Nothobranchius furzeri: one gene and its partners. The main gene of each other region encodes a partner of the protein of the gene in region 3 in a complex. Links are inferred from orthologs where the notes say so. Each region holds a gene or a part of one and is shown on either strand. Other genes may lie near its edges.

Region 1 (4,100 bases), on a different chromosome or scaffold from region 3:
CTCAAGCTGGGATGCCAAGTTTGTTGTGGCTCTCTCACCATAAATGTAATTTCTGCATAATCCACCAGAAAGTGGAAGAGATAGATGACGAGAGGGGTCTGGAGAAAAAACAAAAAGGTTATTTGGAATCAAAATAGGAGCATATGATGTAAACTTGGGTTGAGGGTTGTGGCAAATGTCAAATCATTATTTTAGTTTAAAAGTAAAATAATGATTTTTCATATTTAAAGTAAATTTTCACAAAAATGAAACAAAACATGCTCTCTATGTTAAAGCAGCCCTAAAGGAGGGGGGGGGGGATGCTGTAACATATAGGTTAATTATCTACCTTATGCTAATAGCTGCTAATAATGCTAACCTAATGCCACAGCTGACAGTTAACCTCACCATGATGTAAATCACCAACTCATTTTGAAGTTATGCTAACAGACCAACACTGAAAATCCTCACCAAGTAAGAACATCTTTACTTCTACTTGTTTTTTTGGGGGGAGCCTAAGCCACACCCACCCACTTCTGGTCCATGGGTGTCCCACTGCTCCCAAAAATGAATCGGAGTCTATGAGCGGATAAAAGTTATTTTCTGACCCTGTTTGATATGTGCCACGGATTTTACATTTGACGTCCGTGAATTTTAAAGACACATTTATGCCAAGACTCTGTTATTCGCTATTTTCGAACAGTGATTTTAGGTTTTGTGTGAAAAGACATTTAGGACTACAATTGTGTCTCACCATATTGACATCATTGACATGAGATTCAGACATGGAGAAGAAAATGGCTGTGTATTTTGCAAGCTTTAACGCTCTCTTCCAGGATGACAGAAGGAGCATTAAACATGGAGAAAACCAGGGCAAGCATTTCAGTCCATGTAGTAAGTGCGTAGTAAGTTCCTCTCCGTGGGCTGCCACCTTACCGTGGTGGAGGGGTTTGAGTGTTTCAATGATCCTAGGAGCTAAGTTGTCTGAGGCTTTTTGCGTCTGGTAGGGTCACCCATGGCAAACAGGTCCTAGGTGAGGGATCAGACAAAGAGCAACCCAAAGACCTCTTATGATGAATTATATAAATGGAAACTGTGTTCCCTCGCCCGGACATGGGTCACGGGGGCCCCCCTCTGGAGCCAGGCCTGGAGGTGGGGCATGTTGGCGAGCGCCTGGTGGATGGGCTTTCACCCATGGAGCCCAGCCGGGCACAGCCCGAAGAGGAAATGTGGATCCCCCTTCCCATGGGCTCACCACTCGTGGGAGGGGCCAAAGGGGTCAGGTGCAGTGTGTGACGGGTGGTAGTCGAGGGCAGGGACCTTGGCTGTCTGATCCTCGGCTACAGAAGCTGGCTCTTGGCACATGGAATGTCACCTCTCTGGTGGGGAAGGAGCCTGAGTTGGTGTGTGACGTTGAGAGGTTCCAACTAGATATAGTCTGACTCATCTCAATGCATGGCTCTGGCTCTGGAACCAGTTTCCTTGAGAGGGGTTGGACTTTCTACCACTCTGGAGTTGCTTCCACTGAGAGGCGCTGAGCAGGGGTGGGCATATTAGTTGCCCCCCATCTTGGTGCCTGTATGTTGAGGTTTACCCCAGTGAATCAGAGGGTAGCCTCCCTCCGCCTACGTGTGGGGGGACGGGTTCTGACTGTGGTCAGTGCTTATGCACCAAACTACAGTTCAGACTACCCACCCTTTTTGGAGACCCTAAATTGAAATTCATTGCCGTCCACATTAAACCTTAGTCTTAAAAAATTCACAACATGAATAAATGTCATTAATCGTCTTAAAATTTCTTTCATTTGAAAATACAAATTTTCAGAAAAGGCACTTGAGCCATTGCCCTGCCTTCTTCTCAAACTTAACACGCAGGAATAGATTGTGGGTAACTGTGGGTCACCCAAGTCCACATTGATACAGACCTGGGAAAAGTGCAGATCAAGGGTGCAAAATGAGCTTGGTCACTTCCTGCACTTGAAAATCGGGACACCCTATGCACTTGCACCCCTGGCTGGGAACATGATATTAAAAGGCACAAGTGTGGAGGTGTGAGTATTGGGACTGGGCCATAAATACCATAAATACACAATAATGTGATCAGGCCCTGAGTGTGTTGCATCCAAATCGATCTGGGCAGCAACATTTCCCAATCATTCTGATAAATAGTTTGTGACAATCCTACTATTATTACTTTGGCAGATTGGCAACACATTTAAATCCTTGAGGATTTGAAATCAGCTCATCACCTAACCCCTAAAGCAGACACAAATGCTGTCATGGCCTGATAACATGATAGGTATTTAATGTGCGGATCTCCTACCTCATGGAACACATCTCCTGAGTATGGTGAAACTCCAAGATCAAGCAGTGCCAAACCCTCAATAACTGCAAAAAACAAACAACATCTGTGTTATCCTCTATGGTAGAGCTAATATCATCAATCACCTTGTAATGATCTGGTTTTACTTTACAGGGGCTGAAGCATGACACATGTAGCATCCACACACATTATTCAACATTTTTATAAGAAATCAGCACTTGTCTAGGCTTGTCTGGATTTGTTTTTGCAAGCCGATCAGGACTCTCCGTCTTTTGTATCGGAACTGGTTTGACTTGACAGCATCGTTCAGACGAAGATGCAGGAAGGAACCGGAATTTTAACCGAACAACTGGGATCCGGACGACAGCCGCACCCGCGCTTACCTCGTTTCCAGGCGGTAATGGGTGACACCACCTCCACCCGCTCCGCGATTACCTCCGCTAGAGAGGATCTGTAAAGAGCCGCGCGGATTGTAACGGCTACAACTAAAAGTAGAGTCAAGGGAGCCGCCATCTTCACAAGGAAGCGCTTTCCGCCCTGCCGGTACAAGGCATGATGGGAAATGAAGTATGTTGTCTAAAAAGACAACTACATAAATAAAACAAAATAAAGTTCACATAAACTATTATTCGTCTTCTATTTTACTTGAAAAGGCATTACGTTCTTGTAAAATTCTGATCATAATTATTTTTTGTGTTTGGTTTTTTGCACATTTTATAATTTTTTTTTGGATTTCATTTAGAACACAGATGTAATACAGATCATTTTCATTACTTTTGTGTAAAAATACTCAGTACAAATATCTACAGAATGTATCTATAAGAGTGTTTCTCAATGTCAAGGCGCCTGGCCTTGCAACGAATTTTTTGCGGTGCTTTTACATTGAAATCCCCAGACAGGAAGTGCTAGAAGTTTCTAGGTTGCAAATGGGAAGACTTTCGTTTTCTTTTCGTCGTTTTGATGCTGTGTTGATGTCGAGACACTAAAGAAACATGGCAGGCTTGGAGGTGTTGTACACCTGTGTCGCAGGTAGCATCAGCTGCCCGCATGACGCCGTTGTGTGCTTCGTTCACTGGGAAATGATAAAGAATGGATACAGGTGTATCGGGTCTGGAGATGATGTGAGTAAAATCGGCTGTTTGAAGCTGGGTCAGATTCAGATGATGCAGAAAATGGACAAACAGTAACCTGACCTGTTGACCTGGTTTGTTATTTTTGTAACAAGGGTTTCACTATTTATGCTTCATAAAAGAAACGAACAGACAAAAGATCAGACATGAAATTACACGTTATTGAAAAAGTACAAGGTTTTAATTAAACTAATAAATGCCGATAGATCAGCAGTAAGATATTGTACAGAATAATAATGTCATTTACACAGTTTCTGACGTGATTATTTTATGTTATTGAAGGAGACATTAAGCAATCGATTTTCTAGGGGAACTTGCGCACGCTAACCTGCTATTTTGAAGTTAGCTTTAGCTTTCCAAAAGGGTATACTTTTCTGGATTTAGCTAACTTCGCTGGATTATAATGTCTAGGAGACGTCTTTTACTTATTTTCAATCAAATTGTTTCATTTAAACCCAATGATTTAAAGTAACGAACTGTCAAAACAAAACATGTCAAGTCATCTTTTAGCAGGTTAAACTAACTCACTCTGTGGGGCTGGGTCACATTGACGCACATCAGATGATTTAATAAATCTACTATTTTTTGTTCATTAACCCTTTGTTTTTTCTGTTATTCGTTTCTGTTCTTGTGTTTTTCATCCATCCTCTTCTGCAGCCTCGTAGCAGT
Region 2 (4,284 bases), on a different chromosome or scaffold from region 3:
TCCATGTTGGGGATGAAAAAAAATTAGGAGAACATGAGAAGTCTAACCTGAGGGTTATCCGTGACATCGATGTATATTTTACTGGACGAGGCCAGGGGGCAGGCTTCTGTTAGCGTTCGAGAAAACATCTTGAACAAAGACCACTCTGAAACAATAAAGCAGAGAGTCAGCAAAGACCAGAGTTGTGTTACCTACACTCAAACATCAGCTGAAAGCAGGAAGATCAATTTTATTTTCTCACCTCGTTTGCCCTGTCCAGATGTGTGCAGGTCAAAAACAACATTCAGCGTCTGTCTCAGCTCCCAGGACGTGGTTTTACACTCCCGATCCTGACACACGGGTCGTATGTGGACGGTCTGGGAAAAAAAACTGCTGTGGAAGAGTTTCTCTGACTTCAACAGCACAGCGAGACCAGCCTGAAAAGATTTAATGACCACACACACACACACACACACAAACCCACAAAGTGTTGGCTGGTTTAACCCACAGCAGAAAGCTGAGATAAACAAAGATGTTTACCTTGGATCCACAGGGCAACAGCTTCTTCCAGGGTGTCAAATTCTCAGTGCAGACTATTTCCCGCGGGAGGGTGGCATAGCGAAGGAATCGATGGTCTGTCTCTTAAATTTCAACGTGGTAAACAGAAATCAGAGGGTGAAAGTGCATCCTGGACAGAGACCCAGCCCTCGATTCGCTGTATCGCTTTTACAACAGTGTCGTATCTTTAAACTCAAATAAAGAACATTAAAAATGATATTTGTAGCAAAGAAATAAAACACATAAAAATAAGGTTATGGGGGGCTGAGTAGCTTCACTGTACCGTTGACGATTCCCAGCGGTTTGAAGGAGGCGCTGGGCTGAACGGTGTTGGTGGAGTCGATGAAGTTCAGCGAAGCACAAAATATTCCTGAAAGAACGTTGGTCAGCTCCTTCCATGCAGCGTCCACACTGAAGTGTTAGAGAAACACGAAAGAACGAGCTAAACCTGGTGTGTGGTTTCAAGTTTAAAAAGTTACCCGGGACGTCACTATAAAACAAATGAAGAAACTATAAATATTGTAATAAATACATATCCAAATGTTGACTGGATTTAATGGTTTCATTTATAATCAGAAACACAAAGACGATGAAAGAGAACTCATTTTTTTATTATTAATATTATTATTTTAATTATAACCCTCCCACTGCCTTCATGGGTGACCCCGCGAGGAAAGTTGACCATTGAGCAGAATTGATGGTTTATCCCTTGAGGTCCAAGTGGCAGGGATGCCTGCTCAATGGTCAACTTTCCTCACGGGGTCACACCCATTAGGACAGTGGGAGGGTTAAAGTAAAACTCTCACTCAGTAAAAGCAACTCTAATGCTCTGCCTCCATCACCGGCCTGCACTCACTCTGTCACTGAGTCCTGGAACCAGACCCAGAGCTCAGCTCCTGGGGGGGACGGGAGAAAGGGCTGCCCCCACTGCATGGTCCTCCAGTAGCCCTGTGTGAAGGAGATGTGCAGCTCTCGCACTGAGAACTTGGAGATGACCTGACCCAGAGATTTGGGAAACAGCCTGTAGTGGGACACTGAAAAAAAAAGAGCACTGTTTAGTGTTTACAAAGTCAACCTGACCATGCAGGAACATATCGTGCTAGATCGTCACAAATAATTCAGTTTACAAATGGGATGTGAGGCTAGAAGTCACAAACCTAGACTTTAAATTAAAATTGGTATCGAGCCGATATTCAGATATTTAGATGGGAATTGGGCCGATATTCAGGATGATCAGCGAAACGTTTGACTGCCCGATCCGAAACTCAAAAATCTGATTTTTAAATAGTTCTATCTATGAAGACACCAATTCTAAAAAGCAATAAAATAATTAGCATTTCTCACAGTTTATGACCAATCTTCCATGTGAAATTTTATGACTCAAAGTTAAAAGGTTTGAAGTAAATAAAAACTCTGTTCGCTGATTCAAAGATGAATCACACAAAACTGGCTTTAGCAGGTCAGAGTTCAACATGAATAAGAAACTGGTATTGGCCCTCAAAACCTGAATCAGTGCATGTCTGGATCACAACGGTGAAGACCTTGCCAAAATGGAAACTTTGAAAAAGATTTCTAGATTTTGCTTACAGAACCTTCGGCTAAAGTGTGAATATTATAACTGTCAGTGCTGCAGCTTCACGGGACAACGTAAAAGCTGGGATCAGATCATTCAGGCAACACCGGATTCAAAACAAGCCACGCTTTTCAGATCAGGAACACCTGTCAAAAACTGGAAACACTTTTATTTATGTTTAAACTGAAGCAACGGCAACATGTTTTAACAGAGGACTGAGATCATGCGTGGTCTCCGAAAGACGCAAAAATCACGCACCTTTGTTTTCTCTCATGAAATCTGTTTCCCACAGGGTTCGAAACTGGAAGCTGGCATAAATATCCCCCGAGTGCAGCGGTCTAATGACCAGCTCCTCCTGAAAATCATCTTTAGGTTGCGGTGTAGGTGTCAAGACGAAAGTGTCTGAAGCACGAACGCCCAGTTTGTCTGCTGCAGAATCACCGAGTGCAGCTTCATCCACCTCGGTAGCTTCCCACCGGCCCTCCTCGGCTGTTTGTGTCGCTGATTCCGCGGCCGGCTGCGGATTATCAGCCGTGTTAGTATGTTGCTCATTGACTGGGGTCGTTTGTTGACTGTCTACAAATAAAAATACAGACAAAATAAAAATAAAAACTAGCAAATTCGAGCACCTGTTAACATAAGCTGCCATTTTTCGACAATAGTAGTTTACTTCCGTCTTTTGTGTTATGCACAAAACTAGCCAATAGGCTGCGTGCAACTAGAGTCACGTGACTATGGCAACTATCAAGAGCCAAAAGTAAGAATGCATTTGTTTATTTATTTTTAAGTACCATGAGTTGATCTAAATGTGAAATCTGAATATATGAATATTTGATAATAAAATTCATTAATTTAAAACAAATACATTTATTTCGTTTACAAAAATCAGTTATAAGCATTACCCGATTTATTAGTTACTGGCTTGGATTTTACTTTGAAATATTTTGCAGGAAGTGTATGTGAAAGCACAATGAATACCTACGGTAACGTATGTCCCTCTCCTTCTCCTTATATATATATATATATATATATATATATATATATATATATATATATATATATATATATATATATATATATATAACTTATCTTGAGAGGCTCTATATAAAATGTTGTTTCTTCTTTTAAATGGTTAAAATAACAAAAGTGTATTTCCAACTTTTTGATACTGGTGGGCGACAACTCTCAACTCCCATTATCTAAATGGATTACCTAAACAGAGTGTTATTCTAACTTCTAGCCACTGGAGAGTGCAAATAACATTAAGGCAATAAAACAGTTTGTAGCTAGCTGTAATGCACTTTGACTCCACACAATCATTGTGTTTAACACTATTGCCTAAAAACTGTTTTAGGGGTATTTTTTGCTAAATACTGAAAAAAGGCCTGTTGGAGCCAATTCCCCTACCAGCGTCAAAATGGCTTAGTGTTTTATTTTGAAAGAGTTTACAGGAATTGTTTCTGATAAGTAACTTTTGTAACTTTATAAATCAAGCTCCCTCTTCATTTTCTACACTTTCTCCTTCTTCTTTTATTAATTTTCTCAAAAGGACAAAAACAAATATTGGGATATATATAAGAATGTATAGAATGTATGTATGTATATATATATATCAGTTTCAATGAGATTAGTAGGCTAAAATGTTCTTTTGTAAGTGGGTAACAGAACAAGTGTAGTTCCAGGCTTCCAGCTTTTTGAGATGTATTCTAAAACAAACAATATATGAGCACACAAAAAATAATTCAGTGAAGATTAGAAAAGAAGAATGTATGAAAAACAAAATAAAAGATAGCCAAAGGATTGATAAAACTATGCCTAAGAATTAAAAACTATAAAAGCAGTAAACTTTTTCATTTTTATGGACAATTAAACAACTTAAGATTTGTTTCTGGCTGGCCTCCATTCAGCAGTTATTTTTTCTAGGTCTGGCATTGAAACAAATTCTGCAGCTGATCCATTACCACATTTAAAAAAATTTTGTGAATTAAATGGGGCATATAATGCAAAACTCACCTTCTAGTCTGAATTCATTTGTGCTGCCATGTGATCCCCACCTCTGTCAGGGTGTCCCAGGGTAGCTATTCACCACCAGCGTGTTAAATAGTGTGTGAGTCGATGAATGGGTCACTAGTGTAAAGCACTTTGGAGTCCTCTGACTCAGAAAAGCTAACCCA
Region 3 (4,209 bases):
GCTTGTAAAGGTGTGAGCAAGGTGCTGGATGAGGTGGTGAGGCAGCATCTTCAAGAAGCATCGGTGCTCACCGGAGAGTAATGAATTATGAAGTGGAGCCCGTTTGGACTGAGAATCTCTGAACTCTTTCTTTATTTTATAATATTTCATTGCATTTCTTTATCCTTTTGTAACCAGACCTATAAATGTGTGAATGGAAATCTTCTCTTTGATTTTTCTCCTGACTCTTGTTCGATAGACATGTAGTCTCTGTTAGTTCTGTTAACTCTGAATAACAGATCATTAATAGTAATTATTAGAAAGAAAGAAAATGATCTTTTATATAGCGCCTCATGATAAAAATCACAAGTTGCTTCACAAGAAAAATACATTTTAAATATTAATAGATAAAATGATTAGAAGATATGGTTAAAATGAGAAAAAATATGTGATTAAAGGAAAGGATAAGGAAAGGGAAAGAGAAAATGAATAAGAAAGAAGAAAATCAGTGGATCCTGGGAGAGGTGGAGTTGGTAGAGCAGAATAAGGAGAGGGAGTGATGAAGGTAACACCAAAGCCAGCCTGAACAGGTGAGTTTTCAGCTTCTTTTTGAAGGAGACCACTGAGTCCACTGATCTCAGGCTCAGGGGGAGAGAGTTTCAGAGTCTGGGGTCTACAGCAGCAAATCATTGTCACCTTTGGTCTTTAGCCTGGTGCGCTGTACAACCAGTAGACTTTGATCACTGAACCTGCTGGGGATGTAGAGATTAAGAAGATCACCACTGTATGAATGTGCTTGTTCATGTAAGGGCCTAAAAACGACCAGGATCTTGACAAAAACCCTGAAGTTGACTGGCAGCTTGTAAAGCTGGAGATTTAAAAAAATGTTCTTTATTATTATTTTCAAACAAATCTGTCTAAATGGTTAGGGAGTTTTAAACTGGTGTATTTGATTAGGATTCTCAAATGTTTGTCAGGCCTTTAAAATTTTTGACATTTATTACAATGTGCATTTTCAGGGAATCTTGCTGTGTTTTTATTATTAATTTTAATGTGTGCACACTATTTTGTGTCCACAAGTTATAAAAACTTTCATTGGAAATATGCATATCAAAAGTGGGGGTGCCTAAGTATTTAGAGTAAAAAATTAATTTAGTGTTTGAAATTTAATATAATTTATTTTGTGGTCTCTAAAATCCAGATACAATTAGCAAAACTAATAATGGAAAATATTTGCAATGTTTGCTTTTTATAACCATCGGTCCCAAATTTGGTTAACGCGTTCTTTTGGATTCATTATTATTTTAAAATTTTCTTAAAATGTAAAAACTACTTGCATTTTTAAAGTTTTATTTTCTTTTATTGGGCGGAAGTTGGTCCGCGGCATTAGCCTTCCCACAGGAACTGGGAACGCGGACGTTTAGACCGCTCCCGTTCGGATCAAGCCCTACTTCTGCAGGTGAATGTGAACACTAGACTGATGTATTTATTTTTACCTTTAAAATTACATTTGTGTCATTGAAATGATAATGCATTTTTTAAGGTTTACGATTTCGGACGTTTTTAGTTTTGAGAAACCTGCTTGTCAAGCAGCTAGCAGGAAGCTAACCTCAGCTGACAATGAATGGCAGAAATAACCCCAACTATTATTTATGGAAAACTAAATTAATATAGAAACTGGGACCATTTTAATAAACACGTCTTTATTCCTTTTAGCAACAACAACTATCGGTCAATTTAACGTATAATTTTAATTACTCTTGTTTGCCTGCGTGCATCCTTTAGAGCTTCCGGTTGGATCCAGGTTTCTAGCTCCAATCAAAGCCGCCCAACATGGGGTTGTTGTCTGACCCTAACAGAAGACGGGCTTTGATCAGCCTTTTGACCCGCCTCAACGCTCCAATCTGGTATGTGCCAAATACCGGGAGATTCTTTATAACTGATATTACAGCAATTCTTCAGTATTTTGCATTATACATCATCATCTCTCACCTCTTCCTGTCAGTGTACTGTGCTACTTTGCTGCTGTGTGTTGGTTCATGGGGTTGTCATTCGAGCCTTTCACCTTGCGAACCTACATGTCAGAGAATGCCATGGGATCCACCATGGTGGAGGAGCGCTTCCCTGCAGGGGAACGTGCTCTGGCCACAGCCAAAGAGTTTGGTGCTCACAAGAAGAAAGTTGGGTGTGTTTTTGACTTTTTATTAAACCTCTGCGCCAGCCTAATAACAACAATTTCACACTCCACTAGACTCTTATAACATTGTGTCTCTGCAGTGGGATGCCAGTGGACTGGCTAGTGAAAACCATGCAAGCTAGAGGGTTGGAGGTGTTCACACAGAGATTCTCTCGTACACTACCCTTCCCTGATGAAAACAATGAAAGATATGTACGTTTGTGGCAGGAAATCACATATAATTGTTCTGCACATATGCATACATGATTTTTTATTTTATTTGCAACATTTCTTCTCAGATTGTGGAAGGTACAAATGTTTATGGGATCCTTCGAGCACCTAGAGCTCCCCGAACTGAAGCGCTGGTTCTCAGTGCTCCCTGTAGCCCTGGCGATGACAACAACCAGGCTGTGGGACTGCTGCTTGGCTTGGCTCATTACTTCCGAAGTAAGTCCAGCACCTGCTGCCATCTCTGGCACAGTTAGCCAACACTGGAACGATGCTGCTGTTGCATTTCTTGGTTCAGTTAATTTTGTGTATTAGATCAAGTTTTCTGGGCCAAGGACATCATCTTTCTTGTGAACGAGCACGACCTGATTGGAATGCAGGCCTGGCTGGAGGGCTACCACCACACCAACACCACAGGTGACTATTCACATTCATTCCTGACTATGTTGAAACAGAAAACAAAAGGCTGTATATTTTTATTTCTCTTGTTTTATGGTTCTTCTAGGAATGGACTGGTCTCCCTTGCAAGGCCGTGGCGGTTCAATCCAGGCGGCGCTGTCCCTGGAGCTCAGCAGTGATGTCGTCACCAGTTTGGACATAGTACTGGAAGGCCTCAATGGCCAGTTACCCAACCTGGATTTAGCAAATCTCTTCTATGCCTTTTGTCAGAAGATCGGAGTCCTGTGCACCATTCAGGGCAGGGTAAAGGCTTGTGAACATGTGTGCGGTATTTAGTTAGCAGACCAGTGAGGTGACCTGCTTTAATTTGTGAATGCCTTTGCAGATTCAGAGGAACGACTGGGACAGCGTGTCAGGCTACAGCCATGCAGTCCAGACCATGATGCTTATGGTGATGAAGCAGGCCAGTGGGCGATCCTGGGGAGATCACGGACTATTTCTGCGCTACCACATAGAGGCCGCCACCATCAAGGGCATCAACAGCTTCCGACAGTACAAGACCGATGCCACCACCGTTGGCCGGTTAGAGTTATTGTGAAAGTTTTTTTTTTTTTTTTTTGTCAAAACCCCAAATCAGAACAAAGTTTGAAAGTTCTTTGCAGACCTCAAATGCAGCAATAGTTGCATTTTGAATAATTCAGTCCTGACTTTTTGTTCATTACAAAAGCACATTTATATATACAGTATTTGTGTCTTTTGTCTCCTAGATTGCTGGAAGGGATGTATCGTAAGCTGAACAACCTCCTGGAGCGTCTTCACCAGTCATATTTCTTCTATCTCATGCCGTCGCTGTCCCACTTTGTCTCTATCGGATACTACATGCCAGCCTTTGGCCTCCTTGCTGTTATTTTACTACTTCGCGTATCCTTGCATCATAATTCCTCACTCCTTTTCAGCTGACCTAAGGTGAAGGTTTCCAGAAGAGAAAAAAAAGTTCTAACTGATTAAATCAAGGCTCTGCGATCCTCGTTTTTACACCTTGACTGTGCCTCAGGCTTTAGACCTGTGGGTTCAGCTTGCGACTCCACCGTCTAGAAATGAGGATGGTGTTGCTGATATAGAACAGGTTGGATGTAAAAAAAAAAGTGATATAAAACATTTGTTTTTTTTTTAATCAAATATTGTTTAATGATGATCTTTTCCCACAGTCCAGTACGGGGGTGCTTTCGGTGTTGACTCCTCTGGTCATCAGCCACCTGACAGGAGCAGCTTTGTACATGCTGCCTGTTCGTTTCCAGGAGATGGCGGTTGAACACTTCCAGGTTTCTGAAACGGAAGCCGTTGTCCTGACAGCCATTGCTGTTTACACAGGCGGCCTGGCTTTGCCTCATAACACACACAGGTACTGGCAGAGACAACTTTGTTTT
Region 4 (4,230 bases), on a different chromosome or scaffold from region 3:
TTTTCCACACAACGACTCCACATGAGACGGTCCAGCTCCCAGTCGGCTAATCCTGAACTTCCACGTGGTGCCACCAGGAAGCCGGGGGGAGGGGGGGATGACTGCACACCCAGCAGGAGTCTGGCAGGGAAAAAAATTAGGAAACTTTGTACACGGGCAAGAAATATTAAAATGTTTGCTAGGAGAGTGACGCTTACCGAAGCTGAGCGAGAAACACTCCCATGACTTCAGCCATGTTGATGCTGATGTCAACAGGAAGCTCAGCCTCTGGCTCATAGAAACCGTTCACATTATAAACCTAAAGAAATAATGGATAGACTTTTTCCCCATCATCACACCTTCACTGCTCCGATGGGTGTTTTCAATAAATAACAATCTATTTTCTTTCATTCGGGTGAGAGAAAATTAAATATTTTACCATAATTCCACCCCAACGAGGAGAATGAAACGCATTCGAGGGCACTTCCTGTTTCCTATGATCCTGGATTTTAAGAGGGGAATGGTGAGCATCAGGAACGTACAAAAGGAAATTCAGCACTGGGTTGGAAGATGCAGCATTAGAACCTGGAAATCAAACATTTTTATGTTATCATAAAGCAACACAGTGGATTCAAATCCCTAAAATTCCTATTTTACCAAGTCTGGCCTCCACCGGGTTGATGACGTGTGCGAGGCTGTCTGCATTTAGCGTGTAGGCATCGCAGCTGCTGTCAAAGCGTGGTTTGACCCCGAGCACAGAGTAGTACAACGTCTGTAAGAACACAAGTATAGGGTTGAGGGTTATCTTTTGACGTGCTCTGCGCCTGACTGAATGTCCACCAAAACGGAGTTTCATACCTGAGAGTCGATGCTAAAGTTGGCCACGGGGGAGAGTTTTGTGAGCAAAGGCTGGATGTAGGTCTGCACAGCACCTTCGATGTCCCAGTGGAGCTGGTGTGACGTTGGGTCGGGGTTCAACAGACTAAATGTTATCTCATAACCTAAAGGAAAATAAAAATAAACAGAAAACAGAGTTTTTTTCACACCAACTTTAACCACACCAACTTTATTCATGGCTGAATAAAAGCCAACCTGGGCTGGATTTGAAGGCTCTCATGCTATCAGCAATGCCCTCTTTGCTGTCTGGGTTGAAACGGACTCGGTCACTGAGGACAGCAGAGACGTCGGTGTGGCTGAAAGACATCACTTGCAGCACCTGTTTGATGCGAGGCTCCAGTTGGGCCAGGAGCTGCTCGAGTGTCCTACCCACACCCACCTGGGAGCTGACACGAAGCAGAGCAGTTCGACGCTGACCGATGTACACATCTGTGTCCTGCAAAGCATAAAAACACGTCCGAATTTTTCACGACACGGGTCGAAGTAAATAAGGAGCAGAGTATAAAATACTAGCAGATTTGACCTTAGGCAGCAATAGGGACAGCTCTGGGATCACATAAAAAACCAGAGAACCGCACGGACTCTCGCTGAGTGTGTGCAGAGATTCATCTGCTCCTAAAAAACAAGACACAGAAAAATAACTGCGTGTAATTTCACCAAACCATTCATTTGAGATTTAACCTTTAACTGACCAGCAGCAGTGGGCTTGTTCAGTGCATCCTCCTCCATGATCGTAGCTGTGCGGTACCTCGTCTCAAACCTGTACCTTAACATTGTATCTCCTGTAAGCACAACATAAACACACAAAATGAGCATGCACGCTTCATCCTCCGAAACAACCTCCTAAACCACTTCATTAAATCACCGTCCACTGCATGTTCCTCTTCCTGTGTTTGTGTCAGTGGAACCTTCTTCTGCTGCTCGGGGGTCACAGTACCACGAGCAAAGACGACCTCTACGTCAGCGCTCAGCTGGAGCTGCAAAACAGAAAAAATAAAACACGAATAAGCAAACTCCCACGAGACAAAAAGGTTGTTTTAGGAGTCAGAAACTAACCTGTAGCTTTGCCAGCTGTTTTATCTGACTGACAGGTAACCAGGCACGGTAGGTTTCTGTGGTTCGCCACCATAGAGGGACTCCAACGATGATCACCACAGCTGCTATGGACAAAGCAGCAAGCTGACCTCGTCTGCGCTCTGAAAGAAAGACCAACACAGAAAAGAGTTCTGCTACAGAAATTCTACAATGGATGCAAAATGTCTTGTAAGAAATTACCTCTGCCTATTTGTTTGTGTGTTACTGATGTGTCAAATACTTAATCTATTTCTATCACTAAACTTAGAATCACTTCACAGTAATATTAACTGATGCTATTAAAATAAATAAATGGTTGTAACTACATAAGAACAGGATAAAAACACAACATTTTATTTCCCTTCATTAACATCTAACTGTGTACAGAAGCAACATGTTTTCATCGATTAGTTTGGGGTTAACTTTGGCATTAAAATAATAAATAAAAATTATAAGCTAAATAAACTTTGAACCTATTAGATTTTTTCATGGATGCATGGGTTTTATTCAGCTTATTATAGAAGAACAGACGGTTGCAAATAAAAATAATTGTTTAAAACTACATCTAAAACGAAGCTAGCTGTTATAAATGCACATTTTCCTGGAAACCACAATGCTAACGCGAGCTAGCGCTCAACAAAAATGGTTCTTAACGTCATGAAAACAAATGTCTCCAGCTAAAAGTGAATGTAGCTACAGGACGTCTTAAAAAGTCTGTAAATGGACCCCAAAGTACAGTTAAATTTTTTACTCTGACTAAACTAAAATGTTAAAACATAATGTGACATTCTATCTACTCACCCACTTCCGCGGTGGCCATTATTTGCAATGAACCGGGTGTGCTCGGTTTCATCACCAACACAACATTGAGTCACGTGACACATATTTCATCTGACTCAGACAAGAATAAAGGAGGTAATATATATATATATATATTCAATTAAAGTTTATTTATATAGCGCCAATTCACGACAAGAGTCGTCTCAAGGCACTTCACAAAATAAACATTCCAATTCACAGTTCATTAAGCCAATCAGAAATAATGTGTCCTATATAAGGAACCCAGCAAATTGCATCAAGTCACTGACTAGTGTCAGTGACTATACAGCAATTCTCATACTAAGCAAGCATGCAACGACAGTGGAGAGGAAAACTCCCTATTAACAGGAAGAAACCTCCAGAGGATCCTGGCTCAGTATAAGCAGCCATCCTCCACGACTCACTGGGGATCGAGACGACAGAACACACACACACACACACACACACACACACACACACACACACACACACACACACACACACACACACACACTCTAATGTGTCTACAGTTCTATTGTGATGTCTTAGTAAATATTCTATTTGGTGAGATAAACTTTATTGTATTTATCCTAGTGGATCTCTAAATGGGTAAACTAGCAGTAACACGTCTATATATATATATATTAAAAGTACAATAATTTTGTGATAAATGTATTATTACACTTGGAGAACTGTGATTGCTTCAGAGACAGAAAGTCATCGGGCGATCCTGAAAAAATATTAAACACACACGTGAAGGGGAAACTTTCGCCCCTTTGTGACAGTTTTAATTAACGTCACCTTTAGTGATCACATTTTTTTCGTATCACTGACTTGTCTTGAATACCTTTAAACCTGCAATTTAAGCATGTAACACTCCCAGTTTGACTCGTTCATAATAAGCAGCTTTAGAAGAAAATCAGAAGGATGTAGCAGGTAGTTCAGGGTGTTCTTTTCAAAATACTGCTACTAGAACCGTTATTATTTTAACACAATAAACTACAGAATACTCTCCAACTGTTTAATATTCCTAACATTCAAGCCAGCTGCCATTGTTGGTTTAAAGGTAAGGAAGTCCTAATGTTATGGTTCAATAATGTGTACATATGAATAAGCAACAGTAATGTAATATTAGTAGCAGGAGTTTCTTGGATGCATAATTCATCTAAAAAGAGTAAATCATATAAATAATTAAAACAAGATGAACCCAGGTTGTGAATTACTGTTTATTTTCTCCACTATACACCGACTGTTTTTGGGAATGATTTGAACATCACAAACACCACAGTACTCCAACAAAGCAGTGCCCGTCTCTGCCCCGCCGAGCCCACAGACAAATCCACACAAACTCATTTGATCTCTGCTGTGGGGATGGGCAGGGGCGAGACAGCCGCAAGGGGAGGGGTGACACAAAAACCACATAACATCAATACTTTCACACAACTAAATACATTACCTACGGAGTGTCATTTAAAGCTGTTA

What was found.
Region 1: the proteins of gpaa1 (region 3) and pigu are in contact, whole or in part, in a cryo-EM structure (PDB 8IMX), measured with the Homo sapiens proteins. The link is inferred for Nothobranchius furzeri from reciprocal best matches to the Homo sapiens genes GPAA1 and PIGU. Residues at the interface, in NP_003792.1 of Homo sapiens: Gln245, Leu310, Arg311, Arg313, Phe358, Leu359, Ile371, Ala389, Leu390, Trp393, His397, Leu500, Ile504, Leu508, Cys512, Leu515, Thr516; in NP_536724.1 of Homo sapiens: Tyr349, Ile355, Phe356, Cys360, Ile363, Val364, Leu367, Leu368, Val371, Leu372, Leu375, Ile377, Tyr378, Ala379, Gly380, Ser381, Phe386.
Region 2: the proteins of gpaa1 (region 3) and pigt are in contact, whole or in part, in a cryo-EM structure (PDB 7W72), measured with the Homo sapiens proteins. The link is inferred for Nothobranchius furzeri from reciprocal best matches to the Homo sapiens genes GPAA1 and PIGT. Residues at the interface, in NP_003792.1 of Homo sapiens: Arg97, Ser98, Val99, Gly100, Glu102, Tyr104, Arg134, Ala135, Pro136, Arg137, Ala138, Ala139, Ser140, Thr141, Glu142, Arg171, Gly172, Gln173, Ile174, Tyr199, His200, Asp201, Val202, Leu212, Gln213, Gly214, Arg215, Ala218, Arg311, Tyr312; in NP_057021.2 of Homo sapiens: Gln91, Gly92, Phe93, Arg95, Arg97, Tyr98, Ser108, Phe211, His212, Thr213, Ser214, Asp247, Phe249, Ile250, Arg340, Gln355, Tyr357, Val358, Ser359, Gly360, Tyr361, Gly362, Leu363, Leu371, Tyr373, Lys441, Asp459, Pro460, Asn461, His462.
Region 4: gpaa1 (region 3) and pigs share a complex: the UniProt entries of both Homo sapiens proteins name them as parts of the GPI-anchor transamidase complex. The link is inferred for Nothobranchius furzeri from reciprocal best matches to the Homo sapiens genes GPAA1 and PIGS.

What each region holds. Positions count from the first base shown.
Region 1 is NC_091743.1:68,645,037-68,649,136, reverse strand, and holds the start of pigu (phosphatidylinositol glycan anchor biosynthesis class U protein), read right to left. Parts: upstream 2,856-4,100; 5' UTR 2,815-2,855; coding exon 2,685-2,814; intron 2,367-2,684; coding exon 2,302-2,366; intron 99-2,301; coding exon 39-98; intron 1-38. Other genes in the region: psmf1 (proteasome inhibitor PI31 subunit), read left to right, coding at 3,294-3,422, 4,089-4,100. UniProt on the Homo sapiens protein: Component of the glycosylphosphatidylinositol-anchor (GPI-anchor) transamidase (GPI-T) complex that catalyzes the formation of the linkage between a proprotein and a GPI-anchor and participates in GPI anchored protein biosynthesis.
Region 2 is NC_091755.1:30,371,345-30,375,628, reverse strand, and holds the start of pigt (GPI transamidase component PIG-T), read right to left. Parts: upstream 2,805-4,284; 5' UTR 2,760-2,804; coding exon 2,369-2,759; intron 1,572-2,368; coding exon 1,394-1,571; intron 949-1,393; coding exon 821-948; intron 621-820; coding exon 520-620; intron 417-519; coding exon 242-416; intron 146-241; coding exon 48-145; intron 1-47. UniProt on the Homo sapiens protein: Component of the glycosylphosphatidylinositol-anchor (GPI-anchor) transamidase (GPI-T) complex that catalyzes the formation of the linkage between a proprotein and a GPI-anchor and participates in GPI anchored protein biosynthesis.
Region 3 is NC_091751.1:51,171,974-51,176,182, forward strand, and holds the start of gpaa1 (glycosylphosphatidylinositol anchor attachment 1 protein), read left to right. Parts: upstream 1-1,351; 5' UTR 1,352-1,438; intron 1,439-1,764; 5' UTR 1,765-1,812; coding exon 1,813-1,886; intron 1,887-1,984; coding exon 1,985-2,164; intron 2,165-2,256; coding exon 2,257-2,368; intron 2,369-2,454; coding exon 2,455-2,602; intron 2,603-2,698; coding exon 2,699-2,800; intron 2,801-2,888; coding exon 2,889-3,085; intron 3,086-3,167; coding exon 3,168-3,364; intron 3,365-3,549; coding exon 3,550-3,703; intron 3,704-3,836; coding exon 3,837-3,908; intron 3,909-3,990; coding exon 3,991-4,184; intron 4,185-4,209. Other genes in the region: exosc4 (exosome complex component RRP41), read left to right, coding at 1-81. UniProt on the Homo sapiens protein: Component of the glycosylphosphatidylinositol-anchor (GPI-anchor) transamidase (GPI-T) complex that catalyzes the formation of the linkage between a proprotein and a GPI-anchor and participates in GPI anchored protein biosynthesis. Binds GPI-anchor.
Region 4 is NC_091750.1:65,604,300-65,608,529, reverse strand, and holds the start of pigs (GPI transamidase component PIG-S), read right to left. Parts: upstream 2,842-4,230; 5' UTR 2,804-2,841; coding exon 2,752-2,803; intron 2,720-2,751; exon of another isoform or gene 2,152-2,719; intron 2,073-2,151; coding exon 1,933-2,072; intron 1,854-1,932; coding exon 1,742-1,853; intron 1,659-1,741; coding exon 1,569-1,658; intron 1,492-1,568; coding exon 1,400-1,491; intron 1,313-1,399; coding exon 1,072-1,312; intron 981-1,071; coding exon 838-980; intron 752-837; coding exon 637-751; intron 565-636; coding exon 419-564; intron 299-418; coding exon 198-298; intron 121-197; coding exon 1-120. UniProt on the Homo sapiens protein: Component of the glycosylphosphatidylinositol-anchor (GPI-anchor) transamidase (GPI-T) complex that catalyzes the formation of the linkage between a proprotein and a GPI-anchor and participates in GPI anchored protein biosynthesis.